2 linked regions of the Canis lupus familiaris genome follow. The protein of the gene in region 1 interacts with the protein of each later gene in a biochemical or structural test. Links are inferred from orthologs where the notes say so. Each region holds a gene or a part of one and is shown in the gene's direction. Other genes may lie near its edges.

Region 1 (4,521 bases):
TTCTATTTGCTAGCAGACCATTCCAAAAACAGACAGTCCTGCTGCTTACCTGCTGGATTTTTCAGGCACTGCATTTATAACCTTCTGAAACAATGTGTAGTTTCCCTATTTGGGGACAAATTCTATTCTTGTGAGCGTTATTAAATCTTGTTTGTAAATATGTTGACTTTCTCTTAATATTGGCCCTGAGTCTGGAGGAAACAGCTGTTCAGAGTGAGATAAACTCTTTAGGTTGTGCTGCTAATTATTATATATGCAATCGTGTCTTCTACTTTCAAATACCTGGAGTTCAGAGATACATCCTTCACTGTTTATGATGGATCCACCTGACAGCAGGAAAATCTAGGATGGGATCAAAGGGACACTGATATTTTTTGACTTTTACAGTCACCTGTTTTCACTAAGAAAGAGAAACAGTTTCTATCATTTTTAGGACTTAAGTATTAAATATGAAATGAATCCAACCTTCTTGTTTGTATTGTGTCTCCTTATACTAACACTAGGTAATGTGTTGTGAGCCTGGAGGTGGGGGTTGGTAGCTCAAAAGCAAAATTTGTTTACTGAGAGATTTTCTCTTCGAGTTTAAAAGACTTCGGCAGGCTCCAATCAGCTGGCTGTTGGGGGCAGTGCCCCCTGTGCTTTCATTTACCTGAGCACTTATACAAGTTGAGATGAGAAAAGAGCCAGTTTGGTTGACCTTTGGGCTGATTTTTAGAGTGGATGTTGTGGTTAGAGACTTTGGCTTGGAGTCTGAGCTGAGCCCTGTTCACAGCCTATTTTGCCCTTGGACAGATCTCTTTCCCTCTGAGCTTGTTTTCTCATCTGTAAAATGGAGACAGTGTTTTATTTTTGTATTTTTTCCTCCATTAAAATGCATGGTCAGTGAAGGCAGGAATCACATCTACCTCATTTTCTTAAATCCCCAAAGTCTAGTCCATAACCCGACACATGGGGAATCCTCAAAACCCTGAGTGAATGAGTGTAAGTAATTTTTCTGGAGAAATCTGAGGAACACGACCTCATCGAGGTGGTGAAGGTCAATAATAGTCATAAATCATGTTGCTGTATCATTCATATCATGTCATGAAAATAGCACCGTACCCACATCTAGAATGTTCCTCCCCAACGCTGTTGTCCCCAGTCTAATAATGAGAAAAACATCCCATCCCAACAGCGGGGTATCCTACAAAAAATTTGACCAACACTCCCCCAAAACTGCCAAGGTCATCAAAACCAAGGAGAGCTTGAGAAAGTCTCAGCCAAGGAGGAGACTAAGGAGACATGAGAACGAAATATAATGTATCGTGGATGGGATCCTAGCTCAGATACAGGACGTCAGGTAAAAACTTAAGGAAAACTGAACAAATTTTAGTTGTATCAATATAGGTTCATTATTTTAAATGAATATAACATACTAGTATGTTAATAAGAGAAATTACGTGGGAGGGCATACCTCGCTGTACTTACTCAACTTTTCCATATAGCTAAAATTGTTCCCAGAAAATAGGCTTACTTTTAAAATAGTGCCGCCCCCACCCCCGCGGCCTCCGGCGCTCAGGTGCTCGCCTCCCGGAAGCGGGAAGAAGGTTCCGCCCCACCCCGCACAAAGATGGCGACACGAGGAGGCCCGCCCCGCACAAAGATGGCGGCCGCGTCGGGGAGGAACCGGAAGCGCGGTCTGGCCGTAGCGCCGGTCCGCGGCAGCGCCAGAACGCGCGGGGCGGCGCGGGTCCGGGCATGAAGCTGGGCCGGGCCGTGCTGGGCCTGCTGCTGCTGGCGCCGTTGGCGGTGCGGGCGGTGGAGCCCATCAGCCTGGGACTGGCCCTGGCCGGCGTCCTCACCGGCTACATCTACCCGCGCCTCTACTGCCTCTTCACGGAGTGCTGCGGCCAGAAGCGGAGCCTCAGCCGGGAGGGTAGGGCGCGCGGGCGGCCGCGGGGCGGGGCGGGGCCGGGCCGGGGGATCGGGGGCCGCAGCCGGAGCGGCTCCCGGCCACGACTGGGGACGGGCCAGCGTTGGTCGCAGACCCGAGCAGGCGGGCTGCGGGCCGGGCCGCCTCCTCCGCCGAGAGTTTCGCTTCTTCCCAGCTGGGGCGGGAGGGGTGGTGGGAAGTGTCCGGGCGGCCCCCTCCTGCGCGGCGGGGCGGGGCGGGGCGGGGCGGGGCGGGGCGCGGCCTCCAGCCTCCAGCCTCCAGCCCCCCGCCCCCCGCGGCTCGCCGGGTGCTCCAGCAGCTTCTCCCGCCTCGCCCGCGGCCCCACGCGCCCTGTACGCGCCTCGGCCAGCTCGCGCCAGACACAGACACCCCCTCGCTGACTAGCTTTGTTTTTCCCAGCGCTGCAGAAGGATCTGGACAGCAAGCTCTTTGGACAGCATCTCGCAAAGAAAGTCATCTTAAATGCTGTGTCTGGCTTCATAAGCAACCCGAAGCCGAAGAAACCTCTCACCCTTTCTCTGCACGGGTGGACGGGCACGGGCAAAAATTTTGTCAGCAAGATCATCGCGGAGAATATTTACGAGGGAGGTCTGAACAGTGACTATGTCCACCTGTTTGTGGCCACGCTGCACTTTCCACATGCCTCCAACATCACCCTGTATAAGGCAAGAGCAGAATTTTGGAATCCTTCCTGGATGATGCAGGGTTGGGGGTTTCTTTGTTGTGGGGTAGGATTTGGGGATTGTGAGTTAGAATGAGTGAGCCCTGGGCAGCCCCGGTGGCACAGTGGTTTAGCGCCGCCTGCCTCCAGCCCGGCGGTCCCAGGCCTGGAGACCCAGGATCGAGTCCCACGTTGGGCTTCCTGCATGGAGCCTGCTTCTCCCTCTGCCTGTGTCTCTGCCTCTCTCTCTCTGTAACTATCATAAATAAATAAAAATTTTTAAAAAATTAAAAAAAAAAAGATTTATTTATTTATTCAGAGAGAGCGAGAGAGAGGCAGAGACACAGGCAGAGGGAGAAGCAGGCTCCATGCACCGGGAGCCCAATGTGGGATTCGATCCCGGGTCTCCAGGATCGTGCCCTTGGCCAAAGGCAGGCGCCAAACGGCTGCGCCACCCAGGGATCCCTAAATAAATCTTTAAAAAAAAAAAAAAAAAAAAAGAATGAGTGAGCCCTGAAGACGTCTACACGTGTGGGTTCCCCCTTTGAAAGGTGTGGAAGTTAGGAGGGTTTGACATGTATGGGGCGGTTATACCATCCAGGCTCTGCGGTGGTTGCTGAAAACGGCCCGGTATGATTCTCAGTCCAGTAAGTGGGGTTAGAGGTGAATGTCATTACGTCCAACCTAAGGAGCATCACATTTCACTCAGTGTGTAAAAGAGGACACATTTCTAGAAAGGCCTAAGGCTGTTTAGTTGAAGTGTTACAAACTGCTTTTACGGTTTAACTCACTGATTAATAACCTGGACTTTGGCGGCAGACACACCAGGTTGTGAGTCCTAACTCTCCCACCTGCCAGCTGTGTCATCTTGGGACTGAAGAAGCCTGGTGTGCACACAGGATACGTATTAACATCGCCATTTTAATGAGAAGGACCAGCAATTCAGTGACACGGCATCACTATGATATCCGCACAGCACAGGAATTATAATCAACGTGGGGCTTTGGAGTCAGGCAGGGCAGGGTTCAGATCCCAGCTCTACCACGTACTAATTTTGTAATCTTGGGCAAGATGATGAAGCTCTGTACCTCAGTCTCCTTATCTATAAAATGGGTATGATAACATGCGCTGCATGGAGTTGTGAGGAACCAAGGAGCTTGTGTGTAAAGTTCTTAGTACAGTGCTGAGCACGCAGTGAGCCTTCCGTAAACACGGCCATTGTGGAAACAGTTGTAGCGTTGACGCTTATGCCAGTTGTTTTCCATTGTACTTGCTGAGAACTTTGTGTTGGCTTTTCCCCTTTGTCACTCAAGGACCAGTTACAATTGTGGATACGTAGCAACGTGAGCGCCTGTGCCAGATCCATCTTCATATTCGATGAGATGGACAAGATGCATGCCGGCCTCATAGATGCCATCAAACCTTTCCTAGACTATTATGATCATGTGGATGGGGTTTCCTACCAGAAAGCCATCTTCATATTTCTCAGGTAAGGTCCAGGCCGGGACATGATTGAAGAACCCTGAGCCCAAGTCCGTGGGCTTCGGAACAAAGCCCAGTCCTCACTCACCGGCATTCTGTTGCAGCAATGCTGGAGCAGAAAGGATCACAGACGTGGCTTTGGACTTCTGGAGGAGTGGAAAGCAGAGGGAAGAGATCCGGCTCAAAGACATGGAGCCGGCCTTGTCTGTGTCAGCCTTCAATAACAAGAACAGTAAGTGCCCGCTTTTACTAACCTCTCTCATTCATGACTCTCTGTCACTAAGCTGTAGATCATTGGCATCACCGTGGCCCGGGAGCTGGCTAGAAATGCCACTTCTCAGTCCCTTCTTCAGACCTACTGAGGCAGAATTTCTTTTTTTTTTTTTTTTTTAATTTTTTTTTTAATTTTTATTTATTTATGATAGTCACAGAGAGAGAGAGAGAT
Region 2 (4,446 bases), on another chromosome or scaffold:
AAATAAGATGTTTTCTTTAAAAATAGCTGCATTCGAAATCCAGTGTCGGGGCAGCCCAGGTGGCTCATTGGTTTAGCGCCACCTTCAGCCCAGGGCGTGATCCTGGAGTCCCGGGGTTGAGTCCCACGTCGGGCTCCCTGCATGGAGCCTGCTTCTCCCTCCGCCTGTGTCTCTGCCTCCCTCCCTCCCGCCCTCCCTCCCTCTCTCTCTCTGTGTGGCTCTATGAATAAATAAAATCGGAAAAAAAAAAAAAAATCCAGTGTCACCAACACTGGATTTCTAGACCTAGGCACAACAGCTAAGTATATAAATTGATGCCAGCCATTTAATCTGATTTTTTTGTATAGGTCTTTCCCTAATAAAAGGCAAATTCCCTAAGAGTAAAGAATACATATTAACTTAATGTATACATCTATCGAACACCTATTCTGTGCCAACATAGGTATAGGTACTGGATTCTCTTACCTGTCTTGTGATCCACTTAATTCCTCTGTATTTTTCAAATTCCCAAACTAATTGTCTAACATCCAGAGCTCATGCCTCTTCCCGGTACTGATGACCTGCAAGCCTCTTACGCTATTGGCTACGAATCCACTGCCTCTAACGTCACGTCTTTGGGGCCACCCTTAGAGTTTAGAAAACATCTACAGCAGAAAATCTGGTTTGACAAGAGTTTAGCTTTACCTCAAAGTTAAAGTGATCAGGGCTGGTATTTGTAACGTTGCTAGGTGTGGGAGGCAGGAACGGCAGCGCTAGAATTATGCATTCTTATTACCTAAAGAGGGGGAAAACCCTAAGCAATATGTAGGTGTTAAAGTCATCGTGCCTCTGATTTCGAGATTCCTCATTTGTTTCTTGGGAAAGCCAAACCCGTAAGTTTCCTTCCTGAGCCTTTACAAGAATCCTGTGTAACGCAGTGAACGGACTATTCACAATAATACGAACATCATCTTCTCTGCTCAGCAACACGTAGTAGAACCGCTTGTCCTTTCTTTTTAAAGATGTCCCCAAAAACCGGAGTTCCGCAAGTTTGTAGCCCAGCTTCTACACACACACACACACACACACACACACACACACACAAAACTGCACCGGTTAATGTTTTAAAGAGATCCCTTAACATGCGCTAATAACGTTCATAACGTGCACTTTGCACATCGGCACTACAAAGGTTCACATCCTTTAATGATGACATTATGAGGCTTTTATGATGTTTAAGAGTGAGCCACAGTAACAGGCACCTTATAAAAGAAATCGTTAAAGAAAGGCCAGGCATCACTCAGTGTACCGATCGTCGCAGCAGTTTCTCCGAGAAGAATTAAATCCCACAATTTCTTTCCACCCCCCCCCCCCACCCGCCTCCCCCCAGGAAAAGGCAGCATTGGCAGAAGTTATCTTCATGAAGACTCCTATAGAAACACTTGGAAAGGCAGGGCTAAGGCAGCGGTCAAATCAGAACGACTCCGGGGCGGCGAGGACTCCAAGCTGGGCACCCGACTCTCGCTCGGCGGGCCTTCCCGGGGGGCTCGGGGGCGGCGGGCAGCACCCGCGCCTCCCGCGTGCGGGCAGCGGCGGCCGGAGCCGCTGGGGCCGGGGAGGCAATCCGCGCTGCCGGCTGTCCCCTCCCCCCAGGCCAAGGACAGCGACGTCGTCCTCCCGCTTCTCCTCCTCTTTGGTGCCTTCAGCCAGGAGGCGGGAGTGACCCGCAGCAGCTGACCCGGCATCGGCACTGCCTCTCCCACAGCCCTCAGGACAAGCCATGGGCCCAGAGGCGGCTTCGCAGCACGGCAGCGACGACGCAGGCGGCGGCCCCGGCGCCTCTCAACTGCCTCCCTGACCGCCGCAACCACACCCTCGCAACAGCCATCGCCACCAACGCCAGGAGAACCGACCGACGCGCCCCCCCGCTCCGCAAACCACCTTCGCGATCGCCTCAAGCTACGTCAACAACTATGGCGGGCGACGGGCGGCGGGCGGAGCCGGGGAGGGAAGGCTGGCGGATGTACGTCACACCCCGCGCCCCCCTACGGGAGGGAAGGCGCCGGCTCGCCCCTCAAAATGGCGGCGGCAGTGACGCGCCTGCGTACGGGACTCCTTCGCCGTCGCGCCACGGCCGGCGGGAAGTGAGGTTCTCGGAAGAGCCGCCAGAAGTGTACGGCGACTTCGAGCCCCCGGTGGCCAAGGAAAAGTCCCCGGGGAGAAGACGGCTCTCGCTAGAAGAGTTCCGGCCTGAGTCTGCGAAAGGGGAAGTGCGAGGAAGCGCCTACTACCTTCGGTCTCGGCAGCGGAGGCAGCCGCGACTCCAAGGAGCCGAGGAGATGAACACGCGAAGGGCGACCCGCCTGCAGGAGCAGCAGCAGCAGCAGCAGCAGCAGCAGTCACCGTCTCCGGTGACGACCAGGAGAGGGTTACGGGACTTTCATCCGTCTGACGGTGAGTGAGGCCGCCGGAGGGAGCAGTGTCCGCGGCGAGCCGGGGGGCGAGCGCAGCGCGCGGGCGGGGGCGGGGCGTGTGCGCGTGCGTCCCGGCGCAGCCCCTCGCAGCCCCTCGCCGCGCAGCTCATCCCGCCGGGGCTCCCGGGGCTCGCGGCGCGGGGGCCCCCCGACCGACCGACCGACCGCCCGACCGCCCGCAGGCGGGGCGGGGACGCAGGCGGGAGGGCTGCAGAGGCTCGGGGGCGCGACCTGAGCGGCGAGCTCCGCGCCTCGCCGGGCACCGGCCTGCGGGGGAGGAGGGGGCTCCGGCTCGCCTCTCTCTGCAGGCCTTGGCGGGGGGCAGGGGGGTGACGGCGGCTCGGGGGGCCAGCGGGCAGGGAGACACTCCAGGCTCGCTTTCACTTCGGTTCCCTCCGTTCTGCGGATGTTGCTACCAAAGCCACTTCCATTTCCTCTAACTCTCAGAGGCCACGAGTCCCCAGCTGAGAGTGATGCTTCTCGGGTAGCCTCCCAGGCTTTTCTCCATCGCTACCGAGGTCGGGGGAGGAGGAGGGAGAAATTGGGTGAGTGGGCGTTTGGAGGGAGCGCGCCGTTTTTTAAATGGACTTGAGACCCCACCCGAATACTTCTACCGAGGTGGGGGTAAGGCGAGTTATCCTGAACTTGAAGATCCCTAATGCCTGATAAACTTGAGCTGATCGCTCTTTCTCAAGCAGGGTGGTCTCTGCAAAAAATCGCCACGTGTTTGTTTTTTTTTTTTTTTTTTGCGGGGGGGGGGGGGCGGGCTTCGATGCAACCTCATGGGTTACTTAGCTTGACCAAGGAAGATTCTGAGTTAGTTTTCCTCTAAATGGGCCGAAAGGATGTTGGCAAAGTGAGCGTGTGGATTAGGTGAGGCACAGGTGAAGCAACTCCCTTGAGCCATCCTCTCCCGCCCACTTCCCTGTCCCCTATCTGAATCACGGGTGTAGTTTCGTGGGAGGCCCACGTAAGGCACCAATGAGGTAAAAATCCAGGGGGTTTGAATCACAAAGTGATTGCATCCTTAGTGGTAGACCATGGATAGATAGGAAGAAGGAAGTGGACCTTCAGCTCGCAGCAGAGCTGTAGGCAACGCTCGTATCTGCTGACCCATGCAGCACTGACACATCTGAAGATGCCTTGATTTTGAAAACTTTATTTTAAAGAAAATGTTAACTTAATATGGGGTGGAGCTTACTCCAGACATTTTAGCCTATGTGTATGTTCTATCTCTCTTTTAGAATTAGAAACTTACTGAGGACAAGGATCCCATCCTATTTGAAGTTAATTCCATCTCCTTCAGTATCTGAAGAGCGCTTTGCCGACGATAGGCAACAAATAGGTTACATTGTATTGACTCTGGCACAGATCCTCCTGCAGTTATAGAAGCTGACTTTTTTAATACATAAAGGATTTACTTCTGTTTTAATAAATCTATAAGGATCTTAAACATTTTGCACACTTCTGCTTTCTTCGACGTTTCTGAAACTCTGGACCATCTTTTAAATTTCTAAATTAATATGGTTTTATTATAAAGCATCAAAGGTGAATAGTTTATATTTTTAAGAGTAGTAGTTTTGGTGGACCTAATTACACATTTCTAAAGAATTACTTGCCTTTCTGTTTATATATTGCTGTTAGGGTGCATAATCTGGACCCAAATGTCAATCTGTTTTGAATTTTGACATATGTAATGTCTGTTCTTTAGAGGATGAACCATCTACACAAACTATTTTAAGCCAAGCAGTCCCGAAGAAAACTATCCAGAGAATACAAGAAACTCCAGGTAAGAAAAGCGATTGTTTTTTGCCTTATCTGCCAGCTTTTTTTTTTTTTTTTTTAAGATCTTAATTTATTTATTCATGAGAGATACAGAGAGAGAGGCAGAGACACAGGCAGAGGGAGAGGCAGGCTCCTGGTGGGGAGCCTGATGCGGGACTGGATCCCGGGACTCCTGGGCAGAAGGCAGATGCTCAACCACTGATCCACG

The links.
Region 2: the proteins of TOR1A (region 1) and TOR1AIP1 form a complex in vitro, tested with the Homo sapiens proteins (2 studies listed by BioGRID and IntAct). The link is inferred for Canis lupus familiaris from reciprocal best matches to the Homo sapiens genes TOR1A and TOR1AIP1.

Annotation. Positions count from the first base shown.
Region 1 is NC_049230.1:54,106,005-54,110,525, forward strand, and holds the start of TOR1A (torsin-1A), read left to right. Parts: upstream 1-1,679; 5' UTR 1,680-1,737; coding exon 1,738-1,915; intron 1,916-2,332; coding exon 2,333-2,598; intron 2,599-3,907; coding exon 3,908-4,083; intron 4,084-4,180; coding exon 4,181-4,308; intron 4,309-4,521. UniProt on the Homo sapiens protein: Protein with chaperone functions important for the control of protein folding, processing, stability and localization as well as for the reduction of misfolded protein aggregates.
Region 2 is NC_049228.1:13,320,538-13,324,983, forward strand, and holds the start of TOR1AIP1 (torsin-1A-interacting protein 1), read left to right. Parts: upstream 1-1,592; 5' UTR 1,593-1,952; coding exon 1,953-2,433; exon of another isoform or gene 2,434-2,435; intron 2,436-4,164; coding exon 4,165-4,242; intron 4,243-4,446. UniProt on the Homo sapiens protein: Required for nuclear membrane integrity. Induces TOR1A and TOR1B ATPase activity and is required for their location on the nuclear membrane. Binds to A- and B-type lamins. Possible role in membrane attachment and assembly of the nuclear lamina.